Linked DNA regions of Astyanax mexicanus. The protein of the gene in region 2 purifies or fractionates together with the protein of the main gene of each other region. This does not show direct contact. Links are inferred from orthologs where the notes say so. Each region holds a gene or a part of one and is shown on either strand. Other genes may lie near its edges.

Region 1 (3,752 bases), on a different chromosome or scaffold from region 2:
TTTAATTAAAAAAAACTAGTCAATTTTATTATGAGTTACAGCATAAGTATAATATAAATCCATTATTTAAACCATGCATATACTAGCACTTATTTTGGTGTGTTAAGTGTTCACACATTCAAAAGTCTGCCATGCTCACAGCCAGCCTAAAAAAGTAAAAAAAAAAAATCTATTTATTCTATTATTCTATAAGGTATAAGTAAAACTGTGTAATTTAACAAAATGAACAGCATCAAATTAGATGTTGGGACAGTATGGAAAATGCCATGTTCTCTCATTTACTTTTTATTTTAGCATGACAATATGACAAGCAGTATGAACCCAATATATTTAATGTTTTATCTGGTCACCTTTATTTCATTTCTATATACATCCATTCCTGCATTTCATGCCTAGGAAGAAGAAACCTTATTTAATAATGTGATTTAAAACAGGTGATGTGAACAGATCATATGTGTAAAAATAATTGAAATGTTTGAAAATTATTTTTAATAAAGCCTAAGCTGAAGGCTAATTCACAAATGCCCCATATAATTATACTGTGCTACACAGAAAACTTATGTTATTAGGCACATTTATTTAATCTTTCAAAAAATATGAGTAATTTCCATATTTTACAGGTAAAAAATGAAAGGGCTCAATGCACTCTGCATGGTCAGTAGTAACACTTATTTTTCTCACAGTACCACAGCTTGTTAACACATTTGCAGTGTTTAGATGATTTGACCCATGTTTGCACAGTAAACCACAGTAACAAACAACAAGTACAGGAATGAAACATGTAGTGAGCAATGTTAGCAATGGTATGAAGCAGGGTGTAATTAGTATACAAAGATAAACAGGACAAGCTATGGACTAAGAAAAAAGACTCAGCTTTTTGGTGAGAAATTGCTACTAGTACTCTCAGTGTTCAGTGATCTGTGGGAACTGCTGAAGGAGAGAGGTTTTAAAAAAGGGTTGTGTCAATGGGGAGAAGAAACTGAATTAATTTCCAAATTTGGACACACCTTCTCATTTAAAGTTTTTCTTTACTTCTTTATTTAATTTATTTTCTACATTGTAGAGTAACATTAAATCTATCAAACGAATTAAGGGACACATATGGAATTGCGTAGTAAACAAAAAAAAGTATAAAACATATTCTGGTTTGTTTCACATGTTTTGTTTACAACAAAATCCTGTATAGCGTATGTCTTAAATATTACATTTACAATGTAAAGAATAATTTAAAAACAAAAATATATATTTAAAGAGAAAAGGTGTGTCCAAGCCTTTGACTGATACTTTATATGTGGCTAATTGTTTTATTAATTAATTTATTATTTTTTAAGGATTTTTAAAGCATTTTTTGTCTTTTAAATAAATCTGAAATATGAATTTTGTAAGGCTTGTAGCGGGCTGGACTTTTCAGCAGGCAAATGGCAGGGCGACTATGACACAGGGCTAACAGCAGGAAGGACCCCCGTCGTTCGAGCGGCGTTTGAACACAAAACGCCGAACGAACAAAAAGTTTCTCATCGGGTGAAAATCTGCACCATCCTGCCTGCTGAAACGGTAAAACCCTGGCATACACCGCCAGCGCCAGTTAAACGGCGATATTATAGCCATATATGTGTCATGATGCGGTTTAATATCAAGTTATCTCAGAATTCTGCGTTAGCTTCACTTGCTAGCAGAGGCTGAGCGGGTAACCGGGGTTTCAGGCTGTTATTAACAGCGCGGAGTTTAATAATACTGCAGTATAAAGACACGTTAACCTAATATACGTGCAGTTTTTACGTGTTGTGGGTATTTTATGGGTAAAGTATATACATTTAGTTTAATAAACCAACATTCTGACTAGCGGCTAAGCGAGCTAACCCATTCATTTGAGGTGGTTTAGCTAGCTAATGCTAGCAAGCTTGTAGTTTACATAGATAACTAGCTAGCCAGCTGTGCCCCTAGTAACAGTAGGTTAGCTACTTTTAGTTTATTTTTTTTAAACCTGATCAATTAGGCACGTTAGGTAGATTACATCTGGAGAAAAACAAGACTTTATTAGCTTTCAAAATTTCTCTGTTTGCAGCCCAGAACGTGTGCACTGCTTTCTTCTGTTGATCTCACATGAGGCCTCTTTCTGGGTTTCAGGTGCAGCAGTAACTTTCTTCATCCAAGCCTGAGGGGGCCCAGAGACATCCACCATGTTTCTGTACAACCTGACATTACAACGTGCCACTGGCATCACTCATGCCATCCATGGGAACTTTTCAGGTATACGGTCTTCGTTTTTCCATGTTAAATATGTGATTTGTAATGTTTAACTCTAGAGGTGTAGCCCTGCCCCCACAGGCTTGCATTGTGGGCACTAGACCTGATGGGTGTCTCTCTCTTACCTTAATGTGCACCTCACTCTGGAAAAGGGGGAAATCTGGATTCATCAGACCACATGGCCTTTTTCTGTTGCTCCAGAGTCTTTGCCAGTTAACCTCACTGATGAGTGGTTACACAGTTTAATCCTAATCCCTTGAGTTTCCTTCACATTGTGCATGTAGAAATGCTCTTACTTTCACTAATAAACATATCCCTGAGTTCTAGTAAATATTTAATGGGAGGCACTTACCATTTGCTTATTAAAAAAAAGACTGTACTGGTATGTTAAGATGTTGATCTTATTAATTGAGAGAGTTTGAGACCCCCATTTCTGTCTTTTTTTTTTTTTTTGTTTTTATTGATTTTTAGGTTTTTAAAACTTCTTTTAAAGCAAACATTTTTTTTTTAAATGTACCAAGAATTTGAAAAATGGGAAGTTTCTATATAATTACATTTAGCAATGGTAAAAAAAAAAAAAACTAAGGAACTTTTTCAAACTACTAGGGGTACATATTTTATAATTGGAAATAAATGCCCTTTATCAAATAAATAACCTTTAAATCCTTAATTTAATGTAACTGTTCACCTGTAGTTTAGTTTAATAGTTTCTCCAGAAGGGGGTGGAAGTAGCACTGTTAGCTTAAGCAAATCCACATCAAACACTTTGCTTGCAATTAACTGTATGACGTTCTTTGTCTCTAGGTACGAAACTGCAAGAGATTGTGGTTTCCCGGGGAAAGATTCTAGAGCTGCTGCGTCCTGATGCCAACACAGGCAAGGTTCACACATTGCTCACCATGGAGGTGTTTGGCATCGTCCGCTCCCTCATGGCCTTCAGGCTCACTGGTGGCACGAAAGGTTAGTGTGAATGTTGAAACTGAGTTAGTTTGTTTACAGTTCAATATAATTTTGGGTAAACCAGCCGTAAGATCTTGTTAAAGTTGCTTGCGAAACTAAATGTAAAATTACTGATCAGGTAAATTGCTGATGTGTGGTTTATTCAATGTAATAAAAAAAAATGGTTTGTTTATTGGACTGTGTCTCTTAATTTTAAGACTACATCGTGGTGGGAAGTGACTCGGGACGTATTGTTATCCTGGAGTACCATCCTTCAAAGAACATGTTTGAAAAGGTGCACCAGGAGACTTTTGGCAAGAGCGGATGTAGACGCATCGTTCCCGGGCAATTCCTGGCTGTGGACCCTAAAGGCAGAGCTGTAATGATAGGTAAAATTCTGGTTCTTTGCTAAGTGTTTTATATTTAAGGTGGTTGTTTTATCTGTCTTGGGTTTGAAGAAGCCCTGTGGCATTGTTAGTATGTACACTAACAGCTAGTCTAACACTGCACTTTTGATGCACTTTGATATAAGCTCAAACTAAGGGATAAAGGCCACAACACTGTCT
Region 2 (3,752 bases):
TGTGAATAAAAATGGCATTGCATATTTTTCACAGTATATATTATAAACCTTAAAATAATACAGGGATTTTCACCAGAAGTCACCAGCATTGGTTTGGTGTCTGTATATTTCCAACTGATACTTGCTGATGTAGGCTATATATTGAATACCAGAAAAAGACTAAGCACTGACTGTGCAACAACTTTAAAATAATTTATTTCAACATTATATTTTTATTTTATATAATCTACTGTTTTATTTATTCTGTCAATTGTTAATGTTAAAAGAAGGTTTTAAGCTGTGACCAGTCTAAGGACCAGTAAGCTAAATAGATGTAAACCAAAATATTAAAAAGTGACACCTTTCATTTTATTGTTTGCGTACTGTCGATTTTAACATTTATTTTTAAAGTCTCTCGGCAAGTCAGAAATATGTAACTATATCGGCATTGGCCCAGATATCCCACATTAGTGCATCATTTTAAAGTGTCCTCACTTATTGACTAGTGGAAAAGAGGCCTTTGTTTCTTTGAAACAAAAAAAAGCCCTGAAATTGTTATGTTTACTCATGTAGAGAAAACAGGCAGCTTCTACAAGTGTCCTGTAGGAGATTTTAAAGCCTTCAGAAATGTAAATAAGTTATTTTGCTGTAGAAAAAGGGTTTTTTGTATGATCTACACCTGTAGCATTTATACGGAACAAGGGTTATTTACGTAAAAGGTTAAGTAAATATACCCCTTCAACGTCCTTATTCATTTATTTATTGGTAATACTGCTTAGCATTGCTTTTTCTAAGGGCATGTGTGCATCTAATGTCTGTCTTGTTGTGTATTTAAACTGTGTATAAAATAATAAATATAGCTACTTAAATGTCTTATTTCTTAAAAGGTAAAACAAACAGTCAACAAAGTTACCTGACATCAAGCAACACGCCCACTACACTCCACACATGGCTAACTAGAAAGCTAACCTTAGCGCTTCGTTTTAGATCAATTAAGCCTGTCATTTGTTGTCTAACCCCTTCAGCTTTGCAGCAGCAGCACTTCACTACTGCTAAAACAAAACATGTTAAACAATATAACGAGATAATTCAATCAACTGCGTGCGAAACGTAGTTAGTCAGGTTAGCTAACCTAGCTTTAGCTCAATTTTAGACAGAGCGGGCGGCAAACATGAATTGGTAAGCTATGTGATGCTAACGTTAGCTTAGCTTCTGGTGCTAACGCTTCCAGCTTTGTGTTGGGCAGGCATGTGTGCCTGGAGACACGCAGGTCGAACGAACTGCCTAACTGGCTAACTAATCATGCGTGCAGGTTAATCAGTAAACCGCACAGCAGGGTTGCACACAGCTAGCTGTGATGTTAACGCTATTCAAAAAAACTGGGACAGGGGATTATCCAGCTAGCTAAGTTAGCTTAGCTACACAGGCCGCATGGAAAATGGACGAGTAAGCAACGTCCATGCTAGCTTAGCTTAGCTAGTGAGAAGACCGGTGTTCCGTCGAGTAAGGCTACCCATCGATACCTGCTTCCTAAAGGCACTACGCATGCGCTGATCTACAGTTATTCATTTTTTTATATATAAAATATGCATTTAAAAAAAAAAAAAACTTTTTGTGCATTATACAACCGGGATTCACTGTCACCGTGAAAATGAATAATGATAAATACATAAAAAAAGTTGATTAATAGTTTGTAATGACCTCTCACTGCCATAACTTTCAATAATACAGTGATTTATACTCTTAAAAATTCTACATAGACTTTCACTGGGACCATCTTCTAATATGGTGCTTCTTTTGCATTTTTAAAGTTAACTTACACTAGGGTAGCACGGTTTGACAAGGTAGCATAACTCGACAGAACACCGGCTAGCTGGTTATGCGTCTATATAGCTATTTAACATGAATATAAACCGAAGCATGAGTTAGTACATTCACTATAAACATGTACAAACGAGAAAATCAGACTTCTCGTATGAATGTTATGTAAAATACTCTCTAAACTGGTTTAAATGAACTGAACAGATAGGTTCACTAAGCTATTAGCATTGCCCACGTGCTAACGTTATCCTAGCGTTGCGGATGCGACACGAAACCAGCCGGCTGCTCTCTTGGTTTACCTTGCAGCTTTACCTCACATCTAACACCGGGTTTACACAGACAGAAAGAGCTCAAATAAAGGGGCTAATACACTCTAACGTCCTAATAACACCCTGTCTTGCCACTGCGTCTATAACCCGCCTGTCCTGCCGACACAAAGAGGCCGAGCGGCGGCCGCTCAAACATGAAGCAGCAGCAGAAGCAGTTTTTCATCCACACGCCGTTTAAACCCACCCGTCTGAAGACCTCTTCTTACTGGACGAGTAATCATCGCCCAGGTCCAAGCGATGCCGTTTAGACATCTCAGAAACACGGGATACAAAACGAGTTAAGAACTAAAAAATAAAAAAGGAAAGCGGTCCGCGGATTAATATCTCAAACAAACCACCAACACACACACACACACACCGCTAAGCGACAAGATGGCGACCGGAAGCACTTACCTCATCATTATTATTATTTCTGAGACTCAGAGAGGGAACGGGTTTCAGCCTCTAGAGCGAAGAGTAAAACAGACCCCGCTCTTATAGTAAAAACACCGCATGTGTTCCCCGCGGCGGCGGCGCTTCTCAGCGCGGTTAAGGCGCTCGCGCTGCGGATGCTGTACAGCGGTGCTCCGGGGAGGATGATCTATGTAGCGCCAAATTACCGTTTTCCCTCTGCAGCAGCTTCCAGCAGCCTGCAGTACCGACACCCGCCGAGCAGCGCCGAGCCCTGCTCCCCACAGACAGAGCCTGGAGTGTAGAAACGCGGGAAAATATTATATACAGATTATATTTTAACCGTCCGACCAGTTTATCGGCCTGTTCACTCAGTTTAATACATCAATGCCTCAAAGTAACATTTCTTTCACTCGGTTCTTTAGTCTGTTTCCTCTATTTATCAATATGTTCCCTCTATTTATCAGTATTCCCTCAGTTATAATACATTTATCTCAATGTAAACATTTTTCCTCCAGTTTATCAGCATGTTCCCTCAGTTTTAAATAAATGTATCTAAATTTATCTCAGTGTTTGCTCAAGTTTATCAGTGTGGTCCATCAGTTTAAAGGACCAATATGTAACTCATTTTCAGTAGTAAATGATAAAATGATCAGGATGTATAATCAGATATTAAGGAAACATGTTGAGTTAAAGCACTGGCAGCTCTTGTCAGCAGGGCTTTGGCCCGTACGTTCCTATTTTTAGTGTTTACTCCATCCTGAGTTTTGTGTTAGTTTTGTCCTCTGTCTCCTCCTGCTGCTCGTTCCCCAACACTAACTCCACTAGGACCCATACTACACTACAGCGATCGGTGCTGCAGCAAAGGAGCTAGCTAGCAGAGTGGGCTCAGTTAACCTCAGCTGCTACACAGCTTAAAAAACAAAGAAGGAATATAACAAAAGTGAATATTGACAGTGAGTTTAAAAGGTGGAGACTTAGAGCTCAAAAAGACACAAGACCGACCCAGAGCTACTACTTTTCTCCTGAATAGGTAAGCTAACTGGCTAGCTCATAGACTGTATATAAAGATGGACGCCGTGTCGCCGTTCCCATTCATTCAATGAAAATGAAGCCAAAATCTTCCGCCATTTTGGCGATTCAGAGACCAGAGTCTGCGCAGTAGAGACCAGAGTAGGGAGAAAGGCTGTGGAGAGCTCCTACTCATTTAAATAAACCCGCCCCTGAGGGCTG
Region 3 (3,752 bases), on a different chromosome or scaffold from region 2:
TATTAAACTCCTTAATTACGGCAACTTTTAGACTCTTTGGCCCCGTTTTTCTACGCTAGAAATGCGCACCCTCTCCGCTTTTAGACTCTTTGGCCCCGTTTTTCTACGCTAGAAATGCGCACCCTCTCCGCTTTAAGACTCTTTGGCCCGTTTTTCTGCGCTAGGAATGCGACCCTCTCCGCTTTTAGACTCTTTTACCCCGTTTTTCTGTTAGAAATGCGAACCCTCTCCGCTTTTAGACTCTTTGGCCCCGTTTTTCTACGCTAGAAATGCGCACCCTCTCCGCTTTTAGACTCTTTTGCCCCGTTTTTCTACGTTAGAAATGCGAACCCTCTCCGCTTTTAGACTCTTTGGCCCCGTTTTTCTACGCTAGAAATGCGCACCCTCTCCGCTTTTAGACTCTTTTGCCCCGTTTTTCTACGTTAGAAATGCGAACCCTCTCCGCTTTTAGACTCTTTGGCCCCGTTTTTCTACGCTCGAAATGCGCACCCTCTCCGCTTTTAGACTCTTTGCCCCGTTTTTCTGCGCGAGGAATGCGACCCTCTCCGCTTTTAGACTCTTTGGCCCGTTTTTCTGCGCGAGGAATGCGACCCTCTCCGCTTTTAGACTCTTTGGCCCGTTTTTCTGCGCGAGGAATGCGCACCCTCTCCGCTTTTAGACTCTTTTACCCCGTTTTTCTGCGCTAGGAATGCGACCCTCTCCGCTTTTAGACTCTTTGGCCCGTTTTTCTCGGGCCACAGTCCGTAATTAAACAAATAATGAAATATACCACTTTAAAAAATAATTTTTCCTGATTATTTCATTTACACACCATTTTACTTGCCTTACTATCTTTATCTTTGACAGTGTTGTGTAAACTAAGATTTTTCAAATTGATGTTTAATTTCATGATGTCTCTTGATATTAAACTCCTTAATTACGGCAACTTTTAGACTCTTTGGCCCCGTTTTTCTACGCTAGAAATGCGAACCCTCTCCGCTTTTAGACCCTTTTACCCTGTTTTTCTGCGCTAGAAATGCGCACCCTCTCCGCTTTTAGACTCTTTGGCCCCGTTTTTCTACGCTAGAAATGCGCACCCTCTCCGCTTTAAGACTCTTTGGCCCGTTTTTCTGCGCTAGGAATGCGACCCTCTCCGCTTTTAGACTCTTTTACCCCGTTTTTCTGCGCTAGAAATACGCACCCTCTCCGCTTTTAGACTCTTTGGCCCGTTTTTCTGCGCGAGGAATGTGCACCCTCTCCGCTTTTAGACTCTTTTACCCCGTTTTTCTGCGCTAGAAATACGCACCCTCTCCGCTTTTAAACTCTTTGGCCCGTTTCTGACACCTAGCGTTCAAACGTTGAATCTCACATTATAAAAACCTGTTTAACAGCGGGCCAGCTTTCATTCTATTACTAAAATACCTCGCGGGTCGCTCCAAAAAAGGAAAAGGGCCGCAAATTGCCCGCGGGCCGCAGTTTGGACAGCCCTGATGTAGAATGTGTTGCTGGTGGTTTTAAGGTGATGTTTAAGGGGGTCTTGGTCTCCTGAGCTGCTGCTGCTGTTTATTATAGAGGAGCTTTAACACCAGCAACTGAAAAACCCCGAGAAACACAGGGACACACTCACCCTCCATGGCCGGCAGTCTGGGGATAATCTGCAGGGATAAGTAAATGCTTTAATTAACAGACAAACACTGATAAATATCTGCACAAACACTCGCAGAAATATCTATAAAGGTAATAACACTAAAATATCGAAGGTTTTGAGCCCCAGGTCTGAAAGTAGGTCAGTATATCACTTTGAATAACAAAATGGCGGAGCCCGACATCTTCTTGTAGGGGGTGTTAGAGAATAAAAGCCTGTTAATAACAGAAACGCTGTTTTCATGCGCTTAAAACTAACGAGCAGTGACTCAAAAGGCCATGTGTATTGTCAGTACACCTGAGGGACTGCAGGCAGATTTTCTGGCTAGGTTAGTTAGCTTAGCTAACGCTACCTCCGTTATCAATGAGAAACGCAGCTTAAGGCTGGAAAACCCGAAACTGAACAGAAACACAGACAGACAGGGACTTACCGCTCGACGCCATGACCAGGTTCACACTTTAATAAAGTGTAAAACGCCTGACTGTGCTGTTATTTTTATATTCGGTGATAAAGCTAAATAAATACTGTGTAGTTCAGCTTAAATTACAGAAAATAGAGCTCCGCTCCTCTCAGTGTGCCCGGCTGAAGTGACACCGGCCTGTGCTGCTCACTGTCGGCCTGAGGGTGGCGCTGCGCACCTGGAAAAAATTAAGAGACCACTTCAGTTTCTGAATCAGTTTCTCTGATTTAGCTATTACAGGTATTTTTGTTTAAAATGAACAAAGTGGTTTTATTCTATAAACTACGGACAACATTTCTCTCAAAATCCAAATTAAAATATTGTCATTTAAAATATGATATCTATATGCAGAAAATGAGAAATGTCTAAAATAACAAAAAGATTCAGAGCTTTCAGACCTCAAATACTGCAAAGAAATCAAGTTCATATTCATAAAGTTTAAAGAATTCAGAAATCAATATTTGGTGGAATAACCCTGTTTTTTAAATCACAGTTTTCATGCGTCTTGTCATGTTCTCCTCCACCAGTCTTACACACTGTTTATGAATAACTTTATGCCATTCCTGGTGCATAAATTCAAGCAGTTCAGCTTGGTATGATGGCTTGTGATCATCCATCTTCCTCTTTATTATATTCCAGAGGCTTTTAATTTGGTGGTAATTAAGTGGTCTCTTTTTTCCCAAATCTGTATTTAACAGATTGTACCATACATGTAAAAACAAAACAAACAAAAAAAAACTTTTAGACACTTTTATTAGAATTTAATACTGCTTCGTGTATCTGGCGTGACCCTCTTGTTCACCAATAACCGCAACTCAACGTTTGCTTGCTTCAGGTCCTGCCACAATATTTCTACTAGATCAAAATAATTACTTTACCTATTAAGTTTATTTCTTGGGGGTCGCTTAGATCAGCAACTGGGGTCGCTCCTTGTCTTGCTGCATGACCCACATTCTCTTGACACTTACTCTTTGCAACCTAGCTATTCACACCATTGTTGTTTAATGTTCTCCTGATGGTGGACCCATTAACATTAACATTGTAAGAGAGCCAATGTGAGCCAATGTGTAAAAGGCCCTTAGTTGCTTAGAAGTTACCTTTGGTAAGCCTTTGTGTTCTCAAAGATCTTTGTCTGTACAAACTTCTTAGATACTATGAAACTTCTTCATAGTTTTGCAACCCCCTCAGAAATCTTGTTTATTAATGCTTGATACACTTACCTTCCATAAACATTTATTGTGAAGGTCAGACTTGTTCTATAAATAAAAGAGGATGCTCACTCACTCCTGATTGTCATCCCTATTATTGAAAACCCCAGACTCAAATTTTACCATGAAATTATCTACAAAACTTAAAAGGTTCACATTCTTTTTCCACTGACAAAGTAGTGTAGTATTTTTTCAGTAAATTCCTGTTCCTTTCAGAGCCTGGAAAACGTTACATAATGAAAGGATACGCTATGGATCTAATGAAAGATGCTAAATATAAAAATACAAATTAGCTAAATCTAATGAGCTAATGAGGTACCTTTACAGAGATAAAAGCTGCAAATAAATAACCAAAAAAATCAGGCAACACTTAAGAATGTAATGTATTTGATTCCTTCATCAGATGTATTCATTCATCAAATGTACATTATCCTGCTTCAGGACACAGGTCCTTCATAAA

Evidence for each region.
Region 1: the proteins of dhx15 (region 2) and sf3b3 purify together in Homo sapiens (co-immunoprecipitation; 4 studies listed by BioGRID and IntAct, with this or other methods). This does not show direct contact. The link is inferred for Astyanax mexicanus from reciprocal best matches to the Homo sapiens genes DHX15 and SF3B3.
Region 3: the proteins of dhx15 (region 2) and fus purify together in Homo sapiens (affinity purification with mass spectrometry; 4 studies listed by BioGRID and IntAct, with this or other methods). This does not show direct contact. The link is inferred for Astyanax mexicanus from reciprocal best matches to the Homo sapiens genes DHX15 and FUS.

Annotation. Positions count from the first base shown.
Region 1 is NC_064416.1:23,363,845-23,367,596, reverse strand, and holds the start of sf3b3 (splicing factor 3B subunit 3), read left to right. Parts: upstream 1-1,430; 5' UTR 1,431-1,554; intron 1,555-2,127; 5' UTR 2,128-2,180; coding exon 2,181-2,250; intron 2,251-3,051; coding exon 3,052-3,207; intron 3,208-3,404; coding exon 3,405-3,575; intron 3,576-3,752. UniProt on the Homo sapiens protein: Component of the 17S U2 SnRNP complex of the spliceosome, a large ribonucleoprotein complex that removes introns from transcribed pre-mRNAs.
Region 2 is NC_064415.1:27,958,055-27,961,806, forward strand, and holds the start of dhx15 (pre-mRNA-splicing factor ATP-dependent RNA helicase DHX15), read right to left. Parts: upstream 2,503-3,752; 5' UTR 2,382-2,502; coding exon 2,314-2,381; intron 1-2,313.
Region 3 is NC_064426.1:19,753,683-19,757,434, forward strand, and holds the start of fus (RNA-binding protein FUS), read right to left. Parts: upstream 2,232-3,752; 5' UTR 2,068-2,231; coding exon 2,055-2,067; intron 1,635-2,054; coding exon 1,607-1,634; intron 1-1,606. UniProt on the Homo sapiens protein: DNA/RNA-binding protein that plays a role in various cellular processes such as transcription regulation, RNA splicing, RNA transport, DNA repair and damage response. Binds to ssRNA containing the consensus sequence 5'-AGGUAA-3'.